Linked DNA regions of Struthio camelus. The protein of the gene in region 2 interacts with the protein of the main gene of each other region in a pairwise test. Links are inferred from orthologs where the notes say so. Each region holds a gene or a part of one and is shown on either strand. Other genes may lie near its edges.

What was found.
Region 1: the proteins of PLEKHA5 (region 2) and PDZD11 interact in binary tests that used the Homo sapiens proteins (3 or more experiments, as listed by UniProt). The two-hybrid records come from large-scale screens. The link is inferred for Struthio camelus from reciprocal best matches to the Homo sapiens genes PLEKHA5 and PDZD11.

Annotation. Positions count from the first base shown.
Region 1 is NC_090952.1:27,505,965-27,514,260, reverse strand, and holds the start of PDZD11 (PDZ domain-containing protein 11), read right to left. Parts: upstream 3,565-8,296; 5' UTR 3,503-3,564; coding exon 3,416-3,502; intron 3,324-3,415; coding exon 3,240-3,323; intron 2,773-3,239; coding exon 2,716-2,772; intron 2,381-2,715; coding exon 2,282-2,380; intron 1,775-2,281; coding exon 1,714-1,774; intron 880-1,713; coding exon 845-879; 3' UTR 1-844. Other genes in the region: chromosome-associated kinesin KIF4A, read left to right, coding at 3,980-4,102, 4,274-4,388, 5,026-5,216, 5,514-5,606, 6,694-6,860, 7,111-7,205, 7,404-7,523. UniProt on the Homo sapiens protein: Mediates docking of ADAM10 to zonula adherens by interacting with PLEKHA7 which is required for PLEKHA7 to interact with the ADAM10-binding protein TSPAN33.
Region 2 is NC_090942.1:73,291,091-73,299,032, reverse strand, and holds the start of PLEKHA5 (pleckstrin homology domain-containing family A member 5), read right to left. Parts: upstream 3,367-7,942; 5' UTR 3,179-3,366; coding exon 3,081-3,178; intron 2,949-3,080; coding exon 2,872-2,948; intron 1-2,871.

The DNA.
Region 1 (8,296 bases), on a different chromosome or scaffold from region 2:
AGATGTGTAAGGAGCAGGGAAAGGGAGGAGTATGAATTTCCCCCCCATGTGGCAGGGAGTTGTGATTGTGAAAGGCACAGACAAGGCTGTACTAAGTGAAGGGGGCAGCTGCAGCAGGTGAAACCCTTAAACACACAAGCAGTGCATCAGAAGGAACCTCACCAAGTGCTGACAGCAGACAGCCTAGAAACATGCTCCAAGCATCTTGGCCCAGTTATGTGGGGGCTGCTAAGCACCAAAGTAGTACAAACACAATGCCTTGGCAGAGCAGTGCAGAACCGCTATAGATATGCTTTGAGTGTGACTGGATTTTACTCTTCTTCCTTGAATGCCCAGCAAACCCAGTAGTCTAGAGCAGAGCTTGGACACTGGAGAGGGAAAGGATTTTGTGTCACCGGAAAGGAAACGAACCAGCTGATCCCTTGGAAACTACAGCCATGCTCTGCTTGAGCACGCTTGGACATTCTTGGCCTCACACCTTAGAAACAAGGGCTGGATCCAGAACCAGCAGAGCACGCTTTGAAAATAAGTCCTACTAGATTAGAAATACAGATTTTGCAAGAGAAAGCTGCCCTCCAGTACCCACTTCCATGTCAGCACCAGCAGCTTGTTTTAAAAACTAATTCAAGGAGTGCAGACTAAAGCCCCATTCATCTTCCAGATAATTAAGACTCTGTAGTGTCGCTCCAAGCAGGAAGCAGAACTGATGCCTGTGCAGCCAACAGGACAGTCGTACCTCCAGTGACAGCTGAGACTTGATGTGTCATCTTGGATATTGAGGAAAGGTTAGTGGAGGCTCTTGCAGGACAGCCACTCCAGAGAGGCCCCAGCAGGCAGCTGTTCACTAGTGAACAGTTCTTTCCTTCTGTCTCTGATAATCTGGAAGGTAAAGAGAGAGCAAGGCTGAAAGGGCAGGAGAAGTGGTCACGGATGGTGGGGGAAGTTAGCCAAAATGCTAGAGGAAAACATGAATTCTGTGTACGCCTTCTTAAATAGATGCAGTGCTTGCTACTCTCCTGGATAGCAGCTGGCTTTAAAATAGTATGCTGACATCTCCCCCCGTCATTTCAAGTTTTTTTAAAGCATTTATAAGAAAAGTGTTTTTTAAAGTCCTCTCTTCCCTTGCTCCACACTTTTACTCTTTTCACTTTCATTCAAGGGTCAATTTCCATTTTTATGAAGAATGCTTGTTTGGCTTGACGACTTGACTTTTTTCCTGCTCCCTCTGCCTACTGCCAAGCTTTATAGGTGCAGAAACCTGGAGTTAATAATTTGGTCATTCCCTCTGACAAAATTTAAACATTCATAGAAAGGGATAAAACTACAAGCGGTGTCCACCATCAGCATGGTTCTACTAGTGACTGAACCAATTCCTGTGTTATTTAAGGATAAGTAGCTCCTTCTGCAGCTCCAAAATTAACACTTTCCTAAGCAGTCATCCCAGCTTTTAGCATTGCTTTGCTCAGCCCTACTCTACAAGTTTGCAGGTGGGTAGCTGAAGCCCTTCCTTACTGTTTTGATTGGGTAGCTGTCCTCAACCCCAAATCAAAATTTAACCCCCTTTCTGATTTGCAGGCTGCTAGTTTGATGCTGCATATGACTTTAGACTCAAAATAGCTAAGTTTATGTGGAATTGGCAAGGATGCATGACAGCCTGCTTCCCAGGGAGAAATACAGCTGGCCCACTGCACTCAAAAGCTAGCAGGCACTTACTGTAGGGGAAGTAACGTACGCGCATGGTGATTTCACGGGCAGTCTTCAGGATCTCCACAGCCTGAAAGCAAAAAGAGTTGCTCAGTGACCAGACTGAGTGAGAGGACAGGTAAGAGCAATGTATTAGCTATGCAGTGCATCAGCTTGCTTTGCACAGGGTCTGATATCAGAGTTCCGGAGGAACACTGGGACTTGTGGCCCCCCAGGTTAATGTTCCTCTGCTCTTCCTCATCAGCAAGGGTGTTTTCTTTAAAATTAGATATATGCCCTTTGTGTTGTGAATTATTTTCCCTGATCTACATATGGGGTGTGTGGGATGGGAATTACAGAGAAAGGATTACTGATGTTGTCAACGAAGGTATCTAGGTGCTTGCCTCACACTCATCCTAACTGTTAGACAATGGTGACAGGTTGCCATTTAGGTCCTGAGTTGGTGCAGGCTGAGAGGGCCGAAGGAGAAGGTAGGCTCATGCATTGCCTTTGTTCTCCTGCTCAGGAGGTGAGAGCATGCTGGGGCCTGGGCCAAGCCCTGTCCCTGCTCCAGCAGCTGGAGAGCAGGAGCACTCACCTTGCTGTGCTCAATGTCCTGGAAATCCACATCGTTCACTGAAAGTACCTGGTCCCCTTCCTGCAGCCCAGCTCTATGTGCATCTGAGTCGGGGATCACCTGAGGAGCAGACACAGCAGCACTGACCCTCTGCGGCTCCCCTCAGCACACATCCCAGCCCCAGAGAGCCTCTCCACAGTGCCTGTGCCCAGTGCACTTATACATGAGTCTAGGAGGGGATGGAGAGAGCATGAGGACTGCACTGCACCAGCAAGTCATGGGTCGGGGACAGGAAAGGAAAGGGTGTGAGATCATCTCCTTGTTGGCAAGTAGAAGCTCACAGCTGAGCTGTGCGTGCAAGAGGCAGGTCAGTCTCCATACACGCCCAGCCGGCTCTGCAACCCCCAAGGGAACAGACGGAACATGGGGAGGGAATGGCGGAAGGACAGACACACCTTAGAGATGAAGATCCCCAGCTGCGAGGCCTTTCCTCCTCGGATGTTGAAGCCCAGCTGTACGAGAAACCAGGTTAGCAGTGAAGTGTAACCACCCCCCTTTGCTCATGCATCTCTTCTAGATGGACCAAAGGTGTTAACAGCTGTAGTGATCGCCTAGGGAGCTGCAAGCACAGTCCCTCTCCGCGGACCTCTACGGCCATCCCACCTTGAGGGCTTGCCCCTGCTCCCTGTCCCTGAGTGGCTCCATGTCACAAGTTATTGCAGTTCTTTGCCTAACCCACCAAGCTCCCCCCCACCCTTTACAGCACAGCCCTTCCCAGAAGGGCAGCAGCAAGGCTTCCCCCTCCCCTCCCCGCCCCGAAGTAGTAAGAGCAGGAAAGCAGCGGTGCCTCTCTGACCTCCTGGGGCTGCCTTCGGCCTCAGTCGGCCGCTGCCATCCTCTCGCTCCTCCGCGGGTCCCCCCGTTTTGGCCAGGCACAGGGAAGAGGAGGGGGGGGGGGAAAAAGCGGAGGGAGGCTCACCTGCGCCCCGGGGGGCTTCTTGAGGACGATGGTGCGGGGCAAGAACTGCGTCAGCTCGTTGTTGTAGTCGGGGTGATAAACCCGCTGCAAGACAAGGCGCCGTGAGCGGCCGCGGGCCCCCAGCCGCCGCCGGGGGCCCGAGCCCGTCGCCCGCCCGCCCGCCCGCCCGGGCTCACCTCGTGCGGCGGCACCCAGGCGGGCGGGCTCTCGTAGGGCGGCAGGAAGACCACCGGGTAGTCGTCGTAGGGCAGCCGCGCCTCCATGCTGCCGCGCCGCCTCAGCGCCCGCGCTGCGTCACCCGCCCCGCGCCGCGCTCGCCCCGCCCCGCCCCGCCCCGCGCGCGCGCGCCGTGACGCCCCGCGCTGCCATTGGCGGGCGCCCCGCGCCGCCGCCGGTTTGAATGTTGACCGTTGCGGCGCCGCCATCCCAACGGCCGGCGGCGGCAGGTGGGTGCGGGCCGGCGCCGTGAGGCGGCCCCGGGGCTCGGCTGCGCGGGGTGCGGGGAGGGCTGCGGATCTCCCCCCCTCCCTCCTTCCCCGGCTCCCCTAGGGAGTCTGGGCCTAGCGCTGCGGTCGGGAGGCTGCGGGGCTCGTAGCGGGGCTCCCGCGCCTCAGCGCTAGGCCTCATGCGGCCCGACGCTGAGGGGGCCGTGCCACTGTCGCAGGAGCAGCGGCGGGCGCTGCTCCTGGGGGAGCCTGACCCCGCTCTGCTCGTCCTCAGGGCAGCCCGCGTAACTGAAAATGGTGAGAGAAGATGACAAGGTGATCCCCGTGCGCGTGGCGCTGCGCTGCCGGCCCTTGGTGCCGAAGGAGACGGATGAAGGGTGCCAGATGTGCCTTTCCTTCGTTCCGGGGGAGCCGCAGGTAAGGGAGCCGGCCTGCTGTGCTTGAAGAGTCAGCCTTGCGTGTAACCACATATACGTACCTCTAGATATCTCTATATAGTTATATACACCTATGTATTTCCATGCTGAATGCAGCCTCTGGTTACCACAGCAGTGCAGTCAATGCTGTTCGCTTACATCTCCTTTGTAGGTGATTGTAGGCAACGATAAATCATTCACATATGACTACGTGTTTGATCCTTCTGTTGAGCAAGAGGAGGTGTTCAACACGGCCGTTGCCCCTCTCATACGGGGCATCTTCAAAGGTTTGTAATAACTGAATTCCGACTCTGTTTTAAAGCACTGGGAGTCCTAGTGGGTTCAGATGTGTGAAAGAAGAGGCTGTTTAGCTCTCCGTTCTGAGTCCTTTCTTCTTGCATCTTCCCAGAAACTAAAATTCTTTGTTCTCTAGGCACTGGCTCCAGCCTGGGGTGAGAAGTGCCAGATCTTGCCTGTTTACAAGCTGTAGGCTTCCCTTGGGCTCTCAAGATGACATATTCATGTTCATTGGGTCATTTTTGGTTCTTGAAGATGTTAAGGCAGGAGAGATTTATTAAGAATAACATGATGAGCTGATAAGCATCCTATACTGGAAAGCATTACTGGTGCTGGAGTGGAGTTGGAATGACAGAATATCTACGACCCTCTCTAGTTAAAGCAACAGAGCTGTCCTTAAAAAGATAGATAGATAGATAGATAAAATTATCTATGCTTTGGGGTGTTTTTCATTGGCTTTCTCCCTTGATGTTGTTAACTGTGACCTGTGGGTCAAGGCTGTGTAAACTGATGGTGAGTGGCAGTCCTTTTTTGGAAGGATGCTTTTACTGGAATGCCACTTAATTTGTCAAAGTTTCTGCTCGTTTCCACCTGACTTTCTGATCTAGGCCTTCTTTATTTCTGAAGGGTATAATGCTACTGTGTTAGCCTACGGACAGACAGGATCTGGAAAAACGTACTCCATGGGAGGTACCTACACTGCCAATCAAGAGCATGAGCCTAGCGTGGGGGTTATCCCTCGGGTAATCAAACTGCTATTTAAAGAAAAGGAGCAGAGGCAGGATTGGGAGTTCGTCCTCAAAGTCTCCTATTTAGAGGTAAAAGTTGTTTTGATTTTTTTCAAAATATTACAGAGTTGTGAGTTGTAAACAAAGTGAGCCTTAATGAAGCTGCCTCCTTCAGGTATTAGGAGTTTGTGAAATCAAAACTTAAGATCATATAAGGTCTTATCTTCAGCATCTGAATTCTAAATCCTGTTTACCTCTCACTAAAGGTAAAATGGTACAGTCTCATGCAAAGCTAGCCCTGATCTGAGCCTAGTTGTACATCGTTCTTTATGCAAGCTCTTTTCTTGCAAGGCTGCTAAGTCTGAGCTGCTGTTCTGATCTTTTCAGATCTACAACGAAGATATTCTAGACCTGCTCTGCCCATCTAGAGAACGGTCTTCTCAAATCAGTATCCGGGAAGATCCTAAAGAAGGAATAAAGGTCTGTTGTCCTGTTAGAAATGGATATGTAACGGGCGCATAAGCGGTATGGCTAGGGACAAATGTTTCAATAAAACAGTTGTCTGTCTTCTTGAGGACTGTTCTCGCACTGCTCACTTTATAAACATATGCCTATAAAATCACCACAACTGCTAGCTCTTCTCAAAATTGACCTGTTGGTGAGCATTTAATGTTTCTCAAAATGTAGAGAAGATGTTAGATATTCATTACAAAGGCATTTGCAAGTCTTTTGGCTCTTCTTGAGACTGATTTAGGTGAGTATCTGGGAATGTACTTCATGTCCTCTAAGCCAATTACACTGTTGCAGTTGTGCTCTTCAGTTTGGCCAAGTGATGTGTAACAAAAGGATCCTGACAGAAACTATTCAAATGACTAACTCATTCTTTTAACAGTTTCCTGTAGAAGTGTGTTTATAGTGTAATGCAGAAAAACCTCATGCTGCTGCTTGCTCTGCGTGCTTGTTTGGTAATTAAGCTGTTAGTAGCGGCATCGCTTTCCAGGGAGACAGGCCATTTGGGGAAAGCTCAGTCTTACCAAGAACAAAGACCAGTCCCTACTACTCAGTCCCTTCTGTCCTTTATGTCCCTAATACCTGCCTGCCTTTTACTCTTTTTCTCCAATTCCCCCACCCCCATCAATCAGTCTCCCTTTCCTCTGCCTGGGGTTGGCACAACTTTCAGTCCCCAGATGCATGCTGTGCTACCAGCTGGGCCAGAGGATATCCGAGGACTGTTATGGGCTCCTCTGTGGAGTACTGAGGAGTCCTGTGTCCAACCCATTGCCCAGCTGTCTATCAGGCGTAGAAGAGCTTGGTGTGTGCATGCCGGAGTGAGATGAGAAAGAGGTGATGTAATTTACAAGTTACTGACGTGAAGTTCAGAACAAATTTTTGCTGGGGGATCCATACTAACCCTCTCCCCTAAAGTGAGACTTAGCTTTGTGCGAATGTGTATGTTCAGAGACTTCATTTCAATAGCTGTAGTCTGAGATGAGAGAATTTTTGTGAAGCAGTAAATTAGGGGTGAAGAGGAAAGAGAGGATAAATGATACTTTCTTCCCGGATACAGATTATAGGGTTAACAGAAAGAAGCGTCGCCTGTGCCCAAGACACTGTATCCTGCCTAGAGCAAGGAAACAATTCCAGAACGGTGGCCTCCACAGCAATGAACTCCCAGTCCTCCCGGTCACATGCCATCTTCACCATTTCCGTTGATCAGAAGAAGAAAAATGACAAGTAAGTGTGACAGCGCTGCTACTCCTAGCAGCAGTTAGGAGTCAGGCTTACTGCAAATTTCATAGTCTGTTGTTCTCTTAGTCTTAGATGAACTCAGCTCAGCTACAGTTGAGGTAGTTCCTTTATTTGCTGTTCCTTTATTTTGAACGGCACTTTTCAGCCCAGTAGCTCAACTGTACTAACCGCCAGACTGCTCTGTTCCTAGCTGCATGTTTACCTGAGAGAGTAAAATATTCTATTTCTGCCACAGGAACAGCAGTTTTCGCTCCAAGCTACACCTGGTTGATCTTGCTGGATCTGAGAGACAAAAGAAGACCAAGGCTGAGGGAGACCGACTAAAAGAAGGTCAGTAGATGAAGAACAGGTATAGCTTGTGTTTCTTACTGCTTTTGAGCTTGTACATGGAGTTCTTGTTAGAAGAAGCAAAGCAGTTTCTTTAAGTATAATGCATTTTTTACCTTTTTGCGTTTTATAAAACTCAAGGAAATAACCAATTTCTAGCTATTGAGGTAGCTCTACTCATTGTCGTCTGTTTGTTTGCAGGTATCAATATTAACAGAGGTCTTCTCTGCCTGGGGAATGTAATTAGTGCTCTTGGTGATGAAAATAAAAAGGGTGGTTTTGTCCCCTACAGAGACTCAAAGTTAACGAGACTGCTGCAAGGTGAGATCCAGATAACGGTTGAAGCCTAAATCTACAGTTTGTTTTAAATAACAAAGTATTAAAAAAAAAATACTGGAAGCCATACAGCCGCATTCTGAAGTGGGAGGCTGCTGCTGACAATGTGATTGTATTTTTTGATTTCATTGCTCTTCTCACTGTAGCTAGACCTTTTCTGTACTCTTAGGTTACAATTGCACGGAGAGAGGCGCTCACATAAGTCCCACTCTTGCAGTTCCTCTGTGATGGGAGGAAACATCTTAAATTTAGTGCAACTTTTGTGATAGGGAGAAAGAAGTTGAGAAGTTTAGCCTGGAAACAGGGCCTGTTATTTTATCCTGATTGTAGCCACTTACTGGAGGATATCACAGCCAGAAAGAAGCTCAGGCTGTCTGTGCCTTAACTGTGCTCTTCATACCTTTGTGGTTTGATTTCTTAGTCTGCATCTCTGTTCTTTATAGTACTTATTTTTCAGTCTTTGCGATGATCTTTTCTATAGCTTAGTCTTAATATTGTAATATGGGCATAGCCATAATAACGCAACTTAATGGATTTTTTTTATTTGTTTGTTTTCCAATAGTTAAATAAATTGCTACCAAAAGCTAGACTTCTCAGTGTTTCAGATATCTGAAAATATCAAATGTAAGGAACTTGGACTATGCAGAGTTGGATTTGGGGCCTTCTTTTCTAATAAAAAATTTTAGGTACGCAATATGTGTTAGTGTGAAAACAAAGGATAAAACACCATGCACCTTAATGATCTGAACAGATGTGTT
Region 2 (7,942 bases):
TGCATCTTTTGCTACATATAGAAAGCACTTAGTCCTATTAACATACACTTTAAAGTTGGCTCAAAAGACTTTCAACTTCAACTCTGTAATCTAAAGAGAAACAACATGATGAAAACCTGATTTGAATTTCTCCGTCTCAAGTAAAAACAACAATAAGGTTTTAAGCGTGTCCTTGTTTAACAATGTTCCTTCCTTTGACCAGTAATTAGAAATTATGATCATCATCAGTTCCTTCTGCTTCAAATTTCAGTAGCATCAAATTACTTGATAGATACAGAGATCTAAACATAACCAATTTACTGAGTTTACGTTACATGCAAGTCACAAGCATCTTAACACGCATGATACCAACTACACCACAAAGCTATCTTGTACTAGCCGTAATTCCACCACTGATGTGACTAACAAGTGTTCCTGAAGCGTTTACAACTCTATTCAATTTTATATGAAAATTATTTTCACTGCAAAGCTGGTGGAGGAAGTGTGTACACTTTTTTTCCTTCTCTGCTGAGTACCAGTCTTAAGAGTCAGGAGCTCACCTATAAAAGAAATAAATCTCCATGGAAGAAACCAATGGTTTGTTACTTTCAGTTAACAGATTCCCGAAGTAATGGAAGCTCTGAAGATGCTGGACACATCACTGCCTTTAAAAGTGTGTCTCAGTTCATAAAAAACAGTAATTCATATGTAGGACTCACTCACCTAATTATAAAAGCAACAATATATTTCCCCACTTAAAAGGGGAAAACTACTCAGTCTGGACTATGTGATTTTTCTGGTTTACTGATTTGCTCTGGCTGCCTTTTTTATTTCACTGCTATCTTCTCTAAAAGGGGAGTGGGGAGGGAGGAAATCAAGGTGTCTTTTGGTAGCAGCACAGGACAAAGTACAGCAAACAGGAAGTCTCTCTAGCAGAAGTATTTATGACTGCTATATGAACTTTGCAGAAAGAATACCTTTCTAGGACGGAATATCTCAAAGAATGAGAAGCACTTCAGTTCTAAAAGGACGACAAAGCTTTCCACATAGTCCAGTAAATACTCATAGTATTATTTAATAAAGAGCCTTATAATAATATACATTTTCAAAAGAAGCATTATTCATTCCAAATTTCTCTTGATATAAACATATTTTGACTAGGTTCCAAAACAATGGCCAGAATAAAACAAGATATAAAGCCCAGAATTAATCTGTTAGATTATATTGGGAGATTAATTAACATACACATGAAAGAGGAAAAAAACAGAAATGGGTTTGTTTGGTAGATGCTTCAATGTCCGATCTACAAATCATTATCAGTACATATAAGGTCATACCTCACTCAGTGTTCGGAGCTAAGTTTAATGTACTTGATAATAACCCTCCTAACTGTATTTCCTTTCAAAGGCACTTAGTGCCAGGAATGAATAAGAGATTTAGAAAATTACTGAGAAATAACCATCAGCCAGCAGAGCCAGTGGTACCAACTTGAAAGAGAAATGAATACACAGCTAATGTTAATGTCCAGCAAGCAAAGCACCTAACATACATCTGCCCCCATGCCTATCATTGAAGATGAAGGACAGCTGCTCAATTAATCTGAGGGAAAAAAAAAGGGAAAAGAAGAGCCTAATCCCAATCAGTAGTTCTATTTCCTGGCTTTCAATGACTTTTTACAAGCTACAGCCCTTCACTGCAGATAAAATTGTAAAGTTGCAATAGCCAGAAATCTATGCTCTTCAAACTGTTCTCACCTCACAAACGAAAGATGCCCACAGTTTTCTAAAAGACTGTTTATAATTTCTTTATGCATAAGTATTAACCAAATGTAAAAAGTAAATCATCTGATATAGTCAGTTGCAGATTTTCCTGTGATTATCCAAGTGATTACACACACAGAAACAACTGCACTTATAACTATGCTCCACCACCTCCCAGTGGCATAGGCAGCCTGTGTGCAGCTCCAGCAGTCGGAGTCTAGCTCTGGGTCTCCGGAGTGTCTGCTGTAAATCCTCCTCCTCCTCCAGCACCTCCTGCTGCTACTTCTCCAGACTGGAACAAACAGCAGTAGCAAAGACAACTGATTCCACCCTCCTCCAAGTTATTCCTAACGTTCCAGTCTCTTTTCCTCCTACCTATTCCACCTCTCTCAGTCACTTAGAAACCACCCACACTCTCAGCCTAGATGGAAGTAGAGAGAGGAAGAAGGTTTCTAGGTGACTACGCTTAGTGGAATCAGCCTGCTCATCTCTAATATACCTATCATGGTTATATCTACATATTGCTGGAAACAGAATTAAAATGCGTGGTTTAAAGCTGAAATGAGAAAGGATGCTGTGTAGGTGAATAACCTGGGTAACCTGTAAAAAGCATGAGAGAAATAAGGAGCTTCTAATGGCAACGACACAACATTATCGGGGTGATATAAGGCAACCAGAAAAGAGCAACAGAAAAAGAAGAGACTACACAGCACAGGGGGGAAAGGAAATCATTTTAAGAAAGAGATGAGGAACACATTAATGCCCAGCCAGACACGCAAGGCTGCACCGTCACTTCATTCTTGCTCAACCCATGGACAAACAACTGCGAGAAGTGAGGGGACAGCGGGAAAAGCGGGATGCGGAGTTGCCCGGGGTGACCGCAGTGGCACGAAGGCGGGCTCGGGGCGCGGGGGGCCAGCGGCTGCCGGCACTGCCAGCGCCAGGGGGCTCCCGCCGGGCGGACAGGGACCCGTGGCGGGAGGCGACGAGGCCGCCGGGCCCGGCGAGCCCCCGGGGAGAGCGGCGGGGGAGGAGGCGGCCGAGCCGAGCCGGGCCGGGCCGGGTCGGGCCGAGCCGGGGGCTCCCGCCTGCCCGCCCAAGCCGCCCCTCGGTCCCCGGGCGCGGCTCTTACCTGCGCTGCGGCGGTGCCCGGTAATCACGGCCTCTCCGGTGAGCGGGTGCAGCCAGGTCGTGCTCTTCGCCTCCTCGCTGCGGGGACACACACACACACACGGACCGAGTCAGGCAGGCACGGCACGGCGCCACCGCCACCGCCTCCCCCCGCACGCCCCGCCCGGCCCCGCTCCGCTCCGCTCCCCTCCTCGCCGGCCCCGCACTCACTTGATGAAGAAGACGCGGCCGCCCTGGCTGATCCCATAACTCCAGCTGCCGGGCAGCGCCCGCAACCGCTCCACGCTCAGCTCCGCCGGCGCCGCCATGGCCGAGCCGCCGCCACCCGCGCAGCCGGGGAGAGCGGAGGGGAACGGGCGGGCGGGGAGGGAGGGAGGGAGGGAGGGAGGGCCGCGGGCACGAGCGAGCGCGTCCCCGTCGCCGCCGCGGCCAGCACCTTGGGGAAGGGGGAGGGAGCCGAGCGCGGCGGGAGTGGCGAGGCCCCTCTCACTGCCCCGCCCCCGGCCCCGGCCCCGCCCCGCCCCGCCCGCCGACGGGGGCGCGCGCAGCTGCCGGGCTCGGTGCCCGCGGGGGCGCGCCGCCTGCTCCAGCGCCGCCGCTCGGCACGGCGCCGGCCGTTGGGGCGGGGCGGGCGGCAGGCGGCGGGGAGGACCTGGAGCTCGGGCAGGGGAGGGGAGGGAAGGGGCCGCGCCGGGCAGCATCCCTCCAACCCCCCCGGGCCCTCGCGGGGGAAGCCGAGTCCCTCGGCGGCTGGCCGGACCGTCCCGCGCGGCGGAGGCAGCCGCAAGGAAGGCGCGGGCTGCAGCCGGGGCCCGAGCGGCAACGGTCGTGCCAGGGGCGCGAGCCGGGCGGGGAGGGCGGGCGCGCTCCGTAACGGTCGCGCTCCGTAACGGTCGCGGCCCGCGAGGGGGGCGCTGCTTGTCGTGGGGGAAGGTCGGGTGGTTCCCGCCTCCTTCCCCCCCCCCCCGCCCCGAGACCTTGCAGCGGGGACTGACACAGGCATGTCTGTTTAGCAGATCCAGAGGTAAAGCCAAAAGGGAGAGAGCGAGAGAGAGAGGAAAAAAAAAAAAAAGCACTTCATCTCTGCAGGAAATGAATCCCGCACTTCTTGAATCTGGGATCAGTTTCTTGACCATCGGCGGGCCCTGCCTTCCCCCGCGGAAGTGCTTACATGCATCGCAAATCTCAGCGTTTTAAAGTACAAATGTGAGACACCATAGCTGTTAATCTCCCGTTGGGTCTCTAAAAGACACGCATTGCTACAGGAAATTAAAACTTTTGTCGAATTTCCTCCAGGGGTGTGTACGCTCTTCTTGTACTCTCAGCTTCAGGATTTTTTTTATTTCCCATGTGAACATGTAGACTTCAGAAGCAAGAGTAAAGAGATGCCATGGTTTTCTTTTGATATAAGCAACACCATTTCTTGAACTGACTGCCTTTCCTCTAAAAGATACCAAGGATATGACAGGCTTTTATTCACATGAATAATCTGATTGAATGTGCATTTATACATAGCTATGCACACCCTTAATTAGAGTTACAAACACAAATGTAAATTATTGAAACTGCTGTGGCCATCACCTTTCTAAGGGAAGCTTCCCTTACAAAACCACATTCTAAATGAGGGTAAACCTGGGAAATCTGTTACTAGTCCTGTATCCACCAAAAAATTTGAAATTCACAGCTGACGGTATTCTGCACAGCAGCTGTCCTCCACTTGCTCCCCATTATGCACATCTTCTGAAAAATGAAGTACAACAAAACAAGTTACTATGTGACTTAGTCCTCACCAAGGCTTTGTGGGCAAAGCCTTAGAACACAGTTGACCTACACAAGATATTTCAGACCTGGAAAGCAGCGAACATGAGAGCAAATTTAGTTATCTTTTTGTAACTGGATGTAAGATAAGAGTTCCTCTCTGTCCAACAATACTCCTCATTTTCACTTACCACTGACAGCATCTGAGATTTATAGACTACCTGGAAAAGATATAATAGAGAAAGCACAAGTTATCCTATAAACAGCTCCCTTCCCTTCTAAGAGCAAGAGCCTTTAGATGATGAGTAAAAGTGAATAATGGCTCCCACTGACGGGCTGTGGAAAGCTGCCTGGCAACAGCATGGGGGAAACCACATGCATTTTGGGCTCCTGAGGTAGTTATACCCTGCTCGTTTCTTCCTCGTGCGTCATAGCCAGAGCAAATGCTTACGATCTTGAGAACAGTGTATACCTTCCACCATGCAGAGTCAGTTTTCTTCTTTAGCAGAGAAGGACATACAGCACAGCTAGACCTATATTGGCTCAGATCCATAAAATCAGTTAGGCATTTGAAGTTGGATTTGGCTGCATAAATCCTGCTTAATCCCAGCATGTGCTTTGCCAAGCTTCTTCCTTAGGCAACTGAATTTTGCCAGTACCTTTCCTTGCAGCCTCGTTTCTGTTTTGCGTATGTTTAGAATTGTTGCCATCCCGGTAACACCAAGAGCCTAAATGTGTCAAAGCCTAGCTGGATTCCCAGGCAAGACGTTCCTCTGCAGAGATCTCCCACAGAGGCCTGATGAACTAGGTGCATTCGGGCTATGCCTAACAAGGAATTACAAGGAATTAGTTTCTGTCATCCCCGAGAACCAAGCAAACCTCTTCAGCTAGAAGGAGAAAGGGTTTTTAGATCCATGTCACTCTTCCCAGGAAAATGCTTTAGCTCATAGCTATAAGGTATTCTGAAGCTGAGACTATCCTACCACCCTGAAGATGCACCTCCTCTCCCTGCTGAAGTCATACTTTGCAAATACAATTAATGGGCTATCTGGAGGTAACATGACTTGCTAGTCTCATGAACAGGAAGCTCATCCAGAGAATGATGGAAAATCTTGGTTCTACTCCATTGTTCAAGGACTCTTATATCTCTTACGTTGAACAGTCATTGAATAAAATCTGATATTAGTAGTTTTGGAACATATGGAGGACACATTACAACTGTATTTGCCGGAATTAATCCTGCAAGATGCCATGCACCATGAACTCACATTGATATCTAGGAGCCCTGGGTTTTATCATTTTGTGGAATGGAGTTCATGAATTGCAAATAGCATGAGTGAAAACATATTTGCATCATTTGCACAGGCTGGTGCTACTGAGGTTAACAGCTTTTCTTTCTGAAGACTGCTTTTGGATCCATAGTTAAAACTTTTGCCTCAAACTTAGTGTGAAAGTTTGATAAAAACAAATCACACATTAGGTTTTCCCAAAGTTCACTAAGCACAATTTTTCTACAGTCAGATAAATGCCTGAGCATTTTTAAAGAGTATTATATTATTATTAATTATTTAAAAATATTTAAAATCATTATTTACAAAAAGGTACACTTATGTCTCCACTAAGAGGAATGAAACTCTGTTTTGAAAGTGCCCATAACAACTCTTTGTATTATTTAAAGTATTACATATTTTACCTTTCATATAATTCCTTTTATTTTAAAAATGAACCAATGAGTACAAATTTGAAACTGATTTAGTAGTTGAGTAAGACGCAGTGAAATCCGTTCAGATACTCCCATCTGGCCAACACTAGCTTTTTGCAGAAGAGATGAGGACTAGGACGTTCAAGCAGTGGCCATCATTGAAACAACTGTACACTACCTTTTGCATGTATGGCAGATATATCTGCTCATATATGTGTTGCTGCTGTTGTCACTCATGGGAAGTGGATGCAGCATGTGAAGCAAATTGTTATTGCTTTTTATGTGTGTCTGGGATAAGAGGAGAGCCCTCCCACCAGTGTATTTGTCAGCCATCCCCTGAGAGTCTGGGATAAAGTTAAAACCTGCCTCCTCTGAGCTCTTTCCCAAGGTTTTCCATTCCCACCTATCTTTTTTTCTTCCTTTTCACCTCTCCAGGACAGGAGATTTCCTAGCAACTCTCTTGGGGTCAAGGGAAGACATAAAAGCACAAATTTTACTGATGTTAAGTTGAAAAAAAAATCTCAGATGAATAATGTGTACAGAATCAAAATATTTAAAATTCCAGGGGCAAAGGAACCCTGCCCACAAAACAATACATCCCTTTAACTAGGATTAATTAAAAGCCACCATTGGGAGAGCATTCATTGAACAGACTCAGTGAATCCACCCACACCTCTCCCAAAGAGACAATGAACGTATGATGAGACAAACTTAAAAAAGGCTAAGCAAAGCATTTGACAAAGCCAGTAGCGTCTGAAACTGAGAGTGGACTGCAGTCCTCACCTGAAACCTGTTCACAGCTTTGTGTTTGCCAAGGTTGATTCTCCGTCTTCGGTCAGTGTGAATCAAATAGGAGGAAGTTATTTCATGGAGCCTATAACTTTTAACTTTTTATGCTATTTAATGAGCAAGACAATATAAAGTTTAACATTGCAAGAAAAGACCATCACTGAGGGTGCAGCTTTATGTTGCACATTCTAGTACGGGAGCTGCTTTTGAAGAGCGGGTTCCTTTTTGCCCCATCCCGAAAGGCGAGCTTCTTTTACCCCCCTGGTAATATTAAAGCCCAGGGAGAACTGAATCTGCTTGCTCATCTGATAGAAAATAAATCAACAAACCTCTCAATTCACTTCCATCTGATCAGTAAGGTGATCCAACTCATCCTGAGGTCACCTGATAACTGGATCTAGTACATGGGCAAGGAAGAGCAGAAACACTCCTTTTGGCTGCGTTCCTCAATGACAGAGGGAAGGAATCAACAAATATGTTGGTTGACATTCTCTGGAGTCAGGGTATCTTTGTGTAGACGCAAGAATCAATTAGCCTAGGTTAGAGGAAATAAGAAAAAGAAACATGGTCTCTGCAGACACTTCCCTTTGGTAGAATTCTCTGCCTCTCCTTTGCTATAAATAAAGAGCCTGATAACAGTTCAGGAGTCCTGTCCGGTAGCTGTGAAGGCTGCAAGTTCTCCTAGGGGTCACTGGTACAAGTGGCACAGTAGTTCTGTTCTCCGTTAGTGTAAAGCTGCAGTCTTGTCGGAGAACAACGGGAGACAAGCACATCCGATGATGATCAACAAGTCTCAGTTTATTCAGAATTATCTTATTACTTA